Callithrix jacchus: one gene and its partner. The protein of the gene in region 2 interacts with the protein of the main gene of each other region in a pairwise test. Links are inferred from orthologs where the notes say so. Each region holds a gene or a part of one and is shown on either strand. Other genes may lie near its edges.

Region 1 (4,443 bases), on a different chromosome or scaffold from region 2:
CCCGTGGAGGGATGGCCTGGACCAAACACGATACAGGGGGAAAAAATAGAAATATAGCGATTCAAGTACTGGCTTCTCTGAAGAAAGGAGGAAAAAAATCACATTTGCGTGTGTCATTTATTTCAGTTGCGCTGGGGAAAGAGAATGCAGCTTCTCTCCCTGCCTCCTCCTCGATGGGTAGAACTAACTCTAAAACACCAATATCTCAACACTGAACCCTCCCAAATCGCAAGAGTTTTCTTTTCCCCTTCCTTTTTTTTTTTTTTTTTTTTCCTTTTTAAGCTGATTGGCTTTTCTCTATCTTGCTCTTTCCATTTCTTTTTCGTCTCTCTCCCGCCTGGGTTGGGGTATTTTGCGGGGTTTTGTTTTTCCCTGGCTGTGCTGAGGCAGCAGGCTGGGCAGGGTTTAGGACTGCTCCTTGTCGGTTTTTTCTTTATTCATCTTTTTCATCTTCATCCTTCGGTTCTGAAACCAGATTTTGACCTGCCGCTCAGTGAGATTGAGAACCCGGGCCACCTCATACCGACGGTCCCTGGTTAAATACATATTGAAGAGAAACTCCTTCTCCAGTTCCAGCGTCTGGTACTTGGTATAGGGGCAGCGCTTCTTCCTCGTGGAGCGGGCGTGAATCCAGTTGGCCACGGGGTTGCCTGGAGGGCCAAACACAAGCAGGGGTCAGTGGGGCCCCTTTCCAGCCCAGGACTTCTGCTGCTGTACCCCCAGACTTAACCAGGCTCCCCAAACGCAACAACTGAACCTGAATTTGGACACATTTTGCTTTAGGAATTTTCCTCCTTCCTCGTTTTGCATTCTGTCCCCTCCTCAGCTTCCCCTTTTTCAGTTTCCAGCACCTAAAACTGTAGGAAATCCGAAGCTATCAAAGCCCCTCCAGTCTGGTCCTCAGCTTCAAGAGTAGTAATTTGAGAATATCCTCATAAAAAGTCCAAATTCCCAACCGTTTCATAGGCCCATAAACGCTTCTCTCTTGCTTTTTATTTTTATAGCAAGGTCTCTCTCCTCCCCACCTCCCTCCTCCTCTGCCCCCTCCCATCTTCCCAGCCCACGACCAAGTCCTGAAATTTTAGCAGTTCTGCTTCCTGACCCTGAGAGTCCCTAAGCCCCTCACCACCCTCTGCAGCACCCTCCTCCTGCTCGGAGTTCAACCCTGCTGAGGCGAATTCTCAGGGTGATGCTGACAAGGGAAGAGTCTTTCTCCTCTCCCCAGAGAGCTGCTGGCCTTGGGGACAGGCTCCCCTATATCTTAGTTTTCCTGTTTGGCCTCCAGTGCCCCCTCCTGCCAGCCCCAGGACAGGCTCTGCAGGAGCCAAGCCTCCAATTTCAGGTTTATGGGAGTTGCTGAGGGCAGGCAGGGAAGCCTTCAGAGGGGTATAATTAGGCCCTGGCCCCTTATCGGGCTGGAGGAAAAGATTTCCTGCAGCCCCCTCCTGGGACTCCCCGAGACACTTCCTCACACCCAGGGGACTGCACCCCCTCTCCTGCTGTTTCTCCTTCTTTCCCCTTTTTCTGGCCCTGCAGCTCCCACCTGCCCCCAACCTGCCTCCTGTGCAACCCTCAGAAGGTGCCTGTCTCCCTGATTGGAGTGTGTGTGTGTGTGTGAATTTTCCAATCTGGGGAGATGCCCACTCCTCATCCCTGACCCCCATTCTCAACCCTTCCCCTCCAAGACCCTCAGAAGAGGGTTCTCAAGTTTAAGGAGACTCAGACCTCACTTTTGTCCCCACTTCTCTCTGAAAGTCCTGGTCTCTCCAAGTTCCCAGGCTTCGAAATGCTCCAGACCCCTCACCCAGTGCTCCTGGGGGAGAAGTCCATGGACCTTCTGTTTTATAACTCTCTAGTGGGGTGACGACCTCCATGCTAACTGGGAAGCAGGGGTACTTCTTTTCGCTGGGGGTATCTCCTCTGTGCCCCCAGTGTCCTCCTCACCTCTTCCCCATCCCATCTCAAATCAGAAACTGAACCTCGCCCCCAGCCCCATTCCCTGGCCCTGCCTGCATTTCTTCGAAAGTGGTGACTGAGCCAAAAAGCCTGGGCTGGGAAGAGGGGGCAGGGGTCTCTCATCAAAGCCAGCTCCTGAGAGAGGAGCTCCCCTCGGCCCTCTCCCAACCTGTCTCCCTGGGCCCCCTTCTCAGACCTTCCTGCTCCTGAAAGATCCCCAAGGTAATTCGCTTTTATTGAGTCCTCGCCCCCTCGCCCTCGCCCTCGCCCCTCTCCCGCGCTCCCTGCACGTTTCGGGAGGGCTGTAATCCGGCTGCCCCCGCCCGTCCTCCCCTCCCCTCCCGCACTGGTTGTAAAGGAAAATTGCTCCCAACTTACTGGGGTCCAGGTCGGCCTTCTCCTCTTTGTGCTTGCTGCCGGCGAGCGCGTCCGCCTCGGGCGAGGGCAGTGTCTGCGGCGCGCGGTCGCGCAGCTCCCCGGGCGAGCCGTACATGTAGTCCGGGTAGCTGCGGCCGTCGCCCGGGCCGCAGTCCGCGCGGCGCCCGGGGTAGGCGTCCGGCTTCAGGGCGTAGTGACGGCCCCCGGCAGGGAAGCTGGGGAAGGAAACGGCGCCGGACAGCGGCTCGAGCCAAGTCCGCATGTAGCGCGTGTCGGCGCCGAGGTGGGGCTGTGGGCCGTACGGGTGATATACCACGGACGACTGCGAGGGCACTGGCGCCCACGACGTGCTGAACACTGCCGGCTTGGGCGCGAAGCTACAGGACGGAAAATCGCTACAGTCCGGCACCAAACCGCTGGGTCTGGCGGCGGCGGGGTGAGCCCCCGTGGCCGGAAACCTGGACGCTAGGAGGTCTTCATTGTCGTGAGAGATGAGCGAGTCCACGTAATAGTTACTGATGGGCCCCGTCGCCGACATCGTAACGGGGTTTTACATACATAAGATTATTGTATGAACTGTATATGTACTTTTTATCTGCTCACAGAACAATCAAGGCAGGTAATTATTTTTCCAGCCTTTTCCCCGCAGCTCATTGGCTCCCCGGCCCCCACGTGATCGTATTTACCCAAAAATACGGCGCGGATCAATGCGCAGGGGCTTTTTTTTTCCTTGGTTTTTTTTCCCCCTCTCCCACCCCCTTCTCTCCGCTGTTCCCCGCGACCTGCGATTTCCTGGGGGTCCGGAACTCTGGACCCAAGGCACCGGTCACCCCCTCAGGACGGCTCGTAGCTCATCTGGGAAGCCCCTGTGCCCATGCCCACCCATAAGCAGTTGGCCTCCCCCAACCATGAGGATTTTTAAATGGGGTGAAAATGCCCGTCCCCGAAGCCAGGGTTCCCGGACCCCAGGGCCGAGCTGGGCGCTGGAGCCCCGCAGGGGCGGGGAGGCCGACCGAGGTAGGTGGAGGAACTATTTCTTGACGTAATCCGTCTCTGTCGGTCCCGACGCTCCCGCAGTGTCTGCGCGAGCCGAGATCAGCGATTGTCAGTTCGGAACGTGGCTTTTAAAAATGCGTTTTTAAATAGTGTGTATGTATGTATTTCTTTCAGGAGCAGCGGTAGCGGTGAGGGAGGGAGGGTGGGAGGGGACTAGGGAAGCTGGGATGGAGGGAGGGAAGGAGGGAAGGGGAGCGTTCTTCTGCCACTGGCCAACTCAGCCCCCCAAATCTGGGGAAGGGGAAGCCTGGGGAAGGTGGTTCCTGGGTGGGAGGGGTAGAACCTCAGGATCTCATACACCTTTACAGCAGCCTCAGAAGTCTTCTCCTTGCTTTGGCACAGATATACAGGCGCCTGTATTTTAAACTTATTGTCTGTATTTATCTTTCTTTGCCAGCTTGAAGAAGTGGAGGAGAGATCTACACAACTTAAGTGGGGTGTCCCCACCCCATCTTCCTGCTCAGCCTCCTTCGCCCCCAGCTCCACCTCTGCGACACTTCCCCTACCCCCACCCCCCAAAAAAGAAGTCACTCCCGGGCTCTGTCTACAGAGAGCCAGGGTGAGAGCGGGCAAGGCGAGAGAGCGACCTCGGTCGTGGGCAAGTAGCTTGTTTTTACGTCCTTCAATAAAATTTTTATGAGGATCATTTGATTGTTCATAAATGTGTCTTTCATTAAATAAAATTGTAGGCTGTTTTTGGAACGGGAAAAAAGCAACGGAGGGACGGGAGAAAGCAATTTCTTTGGGGTCGGATGCAGGAATTCCAGAGGGGGCAGTGTGATTGTAGAGGAATATCAGACAACTTGGATTCCTCCCCCCAATAAGTTGGTTGCTACCCTCCTCCTTCAACTGGGGATTTGTGCCCAGCCCTCTGCTTTCCATCAGACTGTCCCATGGTGGTGTAGTAAAGGGGGGCTTTAGCCAAGCAGGAAATCCTCAGTGTGGGTGCAGAAGAGGGGCATGGGAGGTTGGCTGGAGGGGGGAGACAGGTGATGCCCCCACAGATATGGTGCAGTTAGGCAGGGCAGAGTGAGTTTGAAGGAGGGGTGCAAT
Region 2 (4,545 bases):
TAGTGCTAAAATATTTACAGATAAAATAACATCTGAAATTGCTTTAACATAATTACAGAAGTGAAAGGAATGGGTGGAAATATATATGTAATAAGACTGGTGAAGAATTGAATGTTTAAACTGGTTGATGAGTATAGCACTTTGGGAGGCCGAGGCGGGTGGATCATGAGGTCAAGAGATCAGGACTATCTTGGTCAACATGGTGAAACCCCGTCTCTACTAAAAGTACAAAAAATTAGCTAGGCATGGTGGCGCATGCCTGTAATCCCAGCTACTCAGGAGGCTGAGGCAGGAGAATTGCCTGAACCCAGGAGGCGGAGGTTGCGGTGAGCCAAGATCGTGCCATTGCACTCCAGCCTGGGTAACAAGAGCGAAACTCCATCTCAAAAAAAAAAAAAAAGAATACATTAAACTACTTTCTCTACTTTTGCATACTTAAATTTCTTTATAATAGAAGGTTTTTAAAAAGAAGGACAAAGAAAATAAAAAGAAAACTAAGGTAGAAAGAAAACTTTTTGCCTCAGATTTTTACTCCAAATTTGAGAATTTTGAATTTTTTATTCTGCATCTCTCAATTAAGCTAGAGTCGCTTGATTTTCTATTTTCTAAGCTCTGCTCTAACTAGAAGCCAAAGATCCTCCTGAGCTCAAAATAAAAAGCCATTTACAATAAAAGTTATAAGACCACAAAGAGTGGGAAGTTGCCCTCAGAAGCACCAGCTAACCAAAGTTATCAAAACTCTTCTTTCTGGGTTATGAGATGTAGGTTTTTTTCTTCCTGTTTCTTATGAGTGTGCATCAACAGTCTGAGGTTATGCCTTTTGCCAGATTTTGTGATTTGAATATGACTCATTTCAGTATGACAAATACCGGATTCCTGTAGAGTGGGGGGTGGGAGGAGAGGGTACTAGACTGAAGACTCTGTAATTATTCTCTGTGGTCCTTTACCTGTGGAGATGAAATAATATCAATATTATCATGAAACGAGTAAAGTGAGGTCTCTGGGGGTCTCTATGAGTTGTATGGATTTCATTTTGAGGCAGTCTGCTCCTGGTTCCTCTTTATCTATCATGCCTAATGCCTGTGTAATGAGGGCTTAGGTAAAACCTTCTGAGTTACAAGCTGCTAGCCTCTGAGGTACGACTGCAGACTGAAAATATTTGCTCACTTGAGCCAACCTGTCCTAGATGCCATTTCTCTGCCAGCAGGAAGAAAGGTCCACCCCAAGTCTCAAGGGTAGTTACTGGGCAGCTGACAATTTGAAGAAACTACTCAAGTGTAGCCATGAATAGCCTGTGGAGATATAGCCAACTGGATAATCTGTACAAATGTTAGCTTCCAGGCTACTTGCTTGGTACTTTCTGTATTTCTGGACAAGATTTACCTAACATCTAGCCTGCTCAGGAAATGCAAAACAATATAATATAATGTCAGTTAAATCTGAGTCACTTTGTTGGCCACAACACCAGAACTAACAAACTTCTAAAACAGAAGACCATCTTTTTGCTTAGTTTTGGTGTCAGGTGTTCCGGCAGTGACATTAATTAGTTCTTTTTTCTTAGTTTTCTCATCTTAAAAAGAAGTGGATATACCTCTGAAATACCTATTTCAGAGGGTTGCTGCAGACACTAAAATTATCAACATATGTAAAAATGTCTAGTTTTTCTTCAGTCACTAAGTATTAGTTTCCTTTTAAATTATTTGCCATGAAAGCCATTAGGTGTCCCCACTCCCCCTCCCCAACAACAACAAAAACAAAAAAGAAATAAAAAAAGGAAAAGAAAAAAAAAAAGGAAAGGGAAAAAAGGCCCTAGCCCTAGTGTAACTCAAGGAGAAATTCACATTCTTCACTCAGGGAGGATAAGAATTTGGATTCTACCCCAAGTCCAAAATAGAGACTAGCGTAGTATCAAGATAGACTCAACCTCCAAAGCAGTTTGGTATATACTAAACGCTACCTTTTTCTCTCCATTAACATCTCTTCCCTCCTGCTAATTTGCCCTTTATTTTTCCTCTGTTTCTCCAACTTTGAAATCACATGTCAATTTTTTTTAAGACAATGTAACAATAAGCAAGATATTTTTTGTCATTCTTTGCACTTTTGACATACCCCATCCGCAAACACACCCCAAACCAGGACACTGTGGAATTAATACAGCTTGGAGATTGGGTAAAGTTTAGTGACTCAGTGTTAGTTAAGATGCTGGCAACAGATGTTGGCAGAGGCTATGGAATGAGTCCCAAGAATGACAAACATTACACTACTCCAAAGGTTTGAAATCCAGGATCTCTCTGGATGGATAATGCGGCTAAGAGTTCCACTGCTGGTTTTAATTGCCTTGGAGTGGAAGGAGGTATCATATTTTCAGGCCATAGTAATCTCTTACTTTAGAATTCTTCTGAATAAAAAGCTTGGCAACAAAATCACTTGAGTTAGAGTGCTATGCCTTCTTGATTTAAGACGAAAACATGAAACAAATGAAACCACTCTGGCCTTTTTCCAACCTCTACAGATCCCTCATTCTTATACTTCGAGTCCATTTTTTTCTTCCTCATAACACCCCAACTCCTTTTCTGCTCTTTCTTTTCCTCCTCAAATCACATCTCTGCATTGCCTTGCTATTTGGCCACCCTATGATCTCCAGTGACCTTCATGGGGCAAAATGCTCATAATAAAACGACAATTTCAATCACAATCCAGTCCAGAAGTATTTGCCAAGAGTTTAGTCTGCGGTTAGCACCAAACTCTCCATTTTGCCACTGCAAACAGTGAACCCATAGTTCCCCAAAACAATCATAGTTCCTCATGCTTCCCTCTCAGCAGGGCTGAGGACAGAAGTGAAAATAAAATCTTCCATTACTACCCTGGGTCTAGCCAGAAGTATACCCCACTACACATGTAGATGGCAGCCAAGTCTTCACTCCCTCAGAGTTTCTGCTCCGAGAAGCTCCTCACTCACCTAACTCTTCCATTATCCTACATCCAAGATGCTCTTGTCTCACAGGCCGTGAGGAACAGCTTTAGCATGTGCTGAACAACAGGACCACAAAGGAACTGAATGAGACAGCAGAAGGCAGCCTCTATAACCCTTTTTGGTTCCTGTATTTGCTTAGCACTTCCTCTCTTTTGATTTGGTGAGGTTTTTTTTCTTTTCTTTTTTTTTTTTTTCATAGGTTACACAGTTTTATAAATGGGACTGACATAGAAAGGTAGATAGTAAGATTTGAGTTATGGTAGTGCATTGGCCAGGGTGATAGAGATTTAAAATTAATTTTGCAAAATTTGAGCACCTACTCTGTGCCAGGACTCATCTTGGAGTCATGGGAATGGCAGATTCATACTGTGTTTTTTCCAAGTGGAGGTACCCCACTCTAACTGAGCATCTACCTTTTTTTTTTCTGTGAAGCTGGGGAACCATGAAGGCATAGTCTTCTTCTTAAAATTTCCATTCAAATGGATTCCATCAGGTATCCATTCCATTTTGTTGTCTTAATGTACTTATTCAAAAATTATGCTTATCAGCTTTCCAGCACAGATTGTAAATCCTTAAAAGTAAGGCAGCAGTGGATTCATGCTTGGATTCTCGGGGCCTGGCTTACTCGGCAGTTCAAAATGCAAACATCTATGGGGGGCGGTCACAAAGAAGGAAGCCAGGTTTGATACCAGATATTAAACTGCATACATCTCAATTAAGCATAATCCTTGCCTAGATACATTACCTTATAGCAATTTCTCTGGAAAGTGACACTGAGGTTAACTCTTCACCGTTTTTACCACTACGATTTTATTCACCTTTAATGAAACATTTACAAAAAGCGTACTATAAAAAGGAACCATCCTGTTAAATAATTCTGTTAAATAGATTTTATCCCCGTTTTTACCAATGGTGAAATACGTTCATGCAATAGTAACTTGCTAAGATAATTAATTGGTAGCTTTGCTACCATAATCACAGATTTCAAAGTCTGTGATCTTTCCTCTAAAACACAGTGCTTTATTTTTTATTTTTTTTTTAGAGACAAACTCTCACTCTCTCTGTCACCCAGGCTGGTGTGGAATGGTGCCATCATTCATAGCTCAGTGTAACCTCCAACTAGAACGCCTGGACTCAAGCGATCTACCCTTTTCAGCTTCTGGAGTAGCTAGGATGGCAGGTGCATGCCATCACGCCACTAGGTTAGCTTAGGAACTTTATTTTCAAATTAAAAAAAAATTTTTTTTTTTTAGAGAGGGCGGTCTCCCTATGTTGTCCAGGCTGGTCTGGAAGCTCTGGGCTCAAGGGATCCTCCCACTTTTGCATCCCCAAGCGCTGGAATTTCGGGAGTGAGCTACCACATCCAGCCCACTGGGGCCTTTTTTTTTTTTTTTTTTTTGAAATAATTCATTCTCCATTCCACTGTCTGTAAATTTTTTAAAAGGGGATTTCGCCTCTGTATTACTTTGGGCATCCATTGGATGTCAGTACTGTTCCTTCCAAAAGTCTGCTCACTGCAAACTCAATCTGAAAAAATTTCCATTGACACTATGCCAAACAATTATTACAAC

What was found.
Region 1: the proteins of LPXN (region 2) and HOXC9 interact in binary tests that used the Homo sapiens proteins (3 or more experiments, as listed by UniProt). The two-hybrid records come from large-scale screens. The link is inferred for Callithrix jacchus from reciprocal best matches to the Homo sapiens genes LPXN and HOXC9.

Annotation. Positions count from the first base shown.
Region 1 is NC_133510.1:65,554,601-65,559,043, forward strand, and holds the start of HOXC9 (homeobox protein Hox-C9), read right to left. Parts: upstream 2,938-4,443; 5' UTR 2,873-2,937; coding exon 2,335-2,872; intron 651-2,334; coding exon 406-650; 3' UTR 1-405. UniProt on the Homo sapiens protein: Sequence-specific transcription factor which is part of a developmental regulatory system that provides cells with specific positional identities on the anterior-posterior axis.
Region 2 is NC_133511.1:116,038,742-116,043,286, forward strand, and holds the start of LPXN (leupaxin), read right to left. Parts: upstream 3,057-4,545; 5' UTR 2,973-3,056; coding exon 2,960-2,972; intron 1-2,959. UniProt on the Homo sapiens protein: Transcriptional coactivator for androgen receptor (AR) and serum response factor (SRF). Contributes to the regulation of cell adhesion, spreading and cell migration and acts as a negative regulator in integrin-mediated cell adhesion events.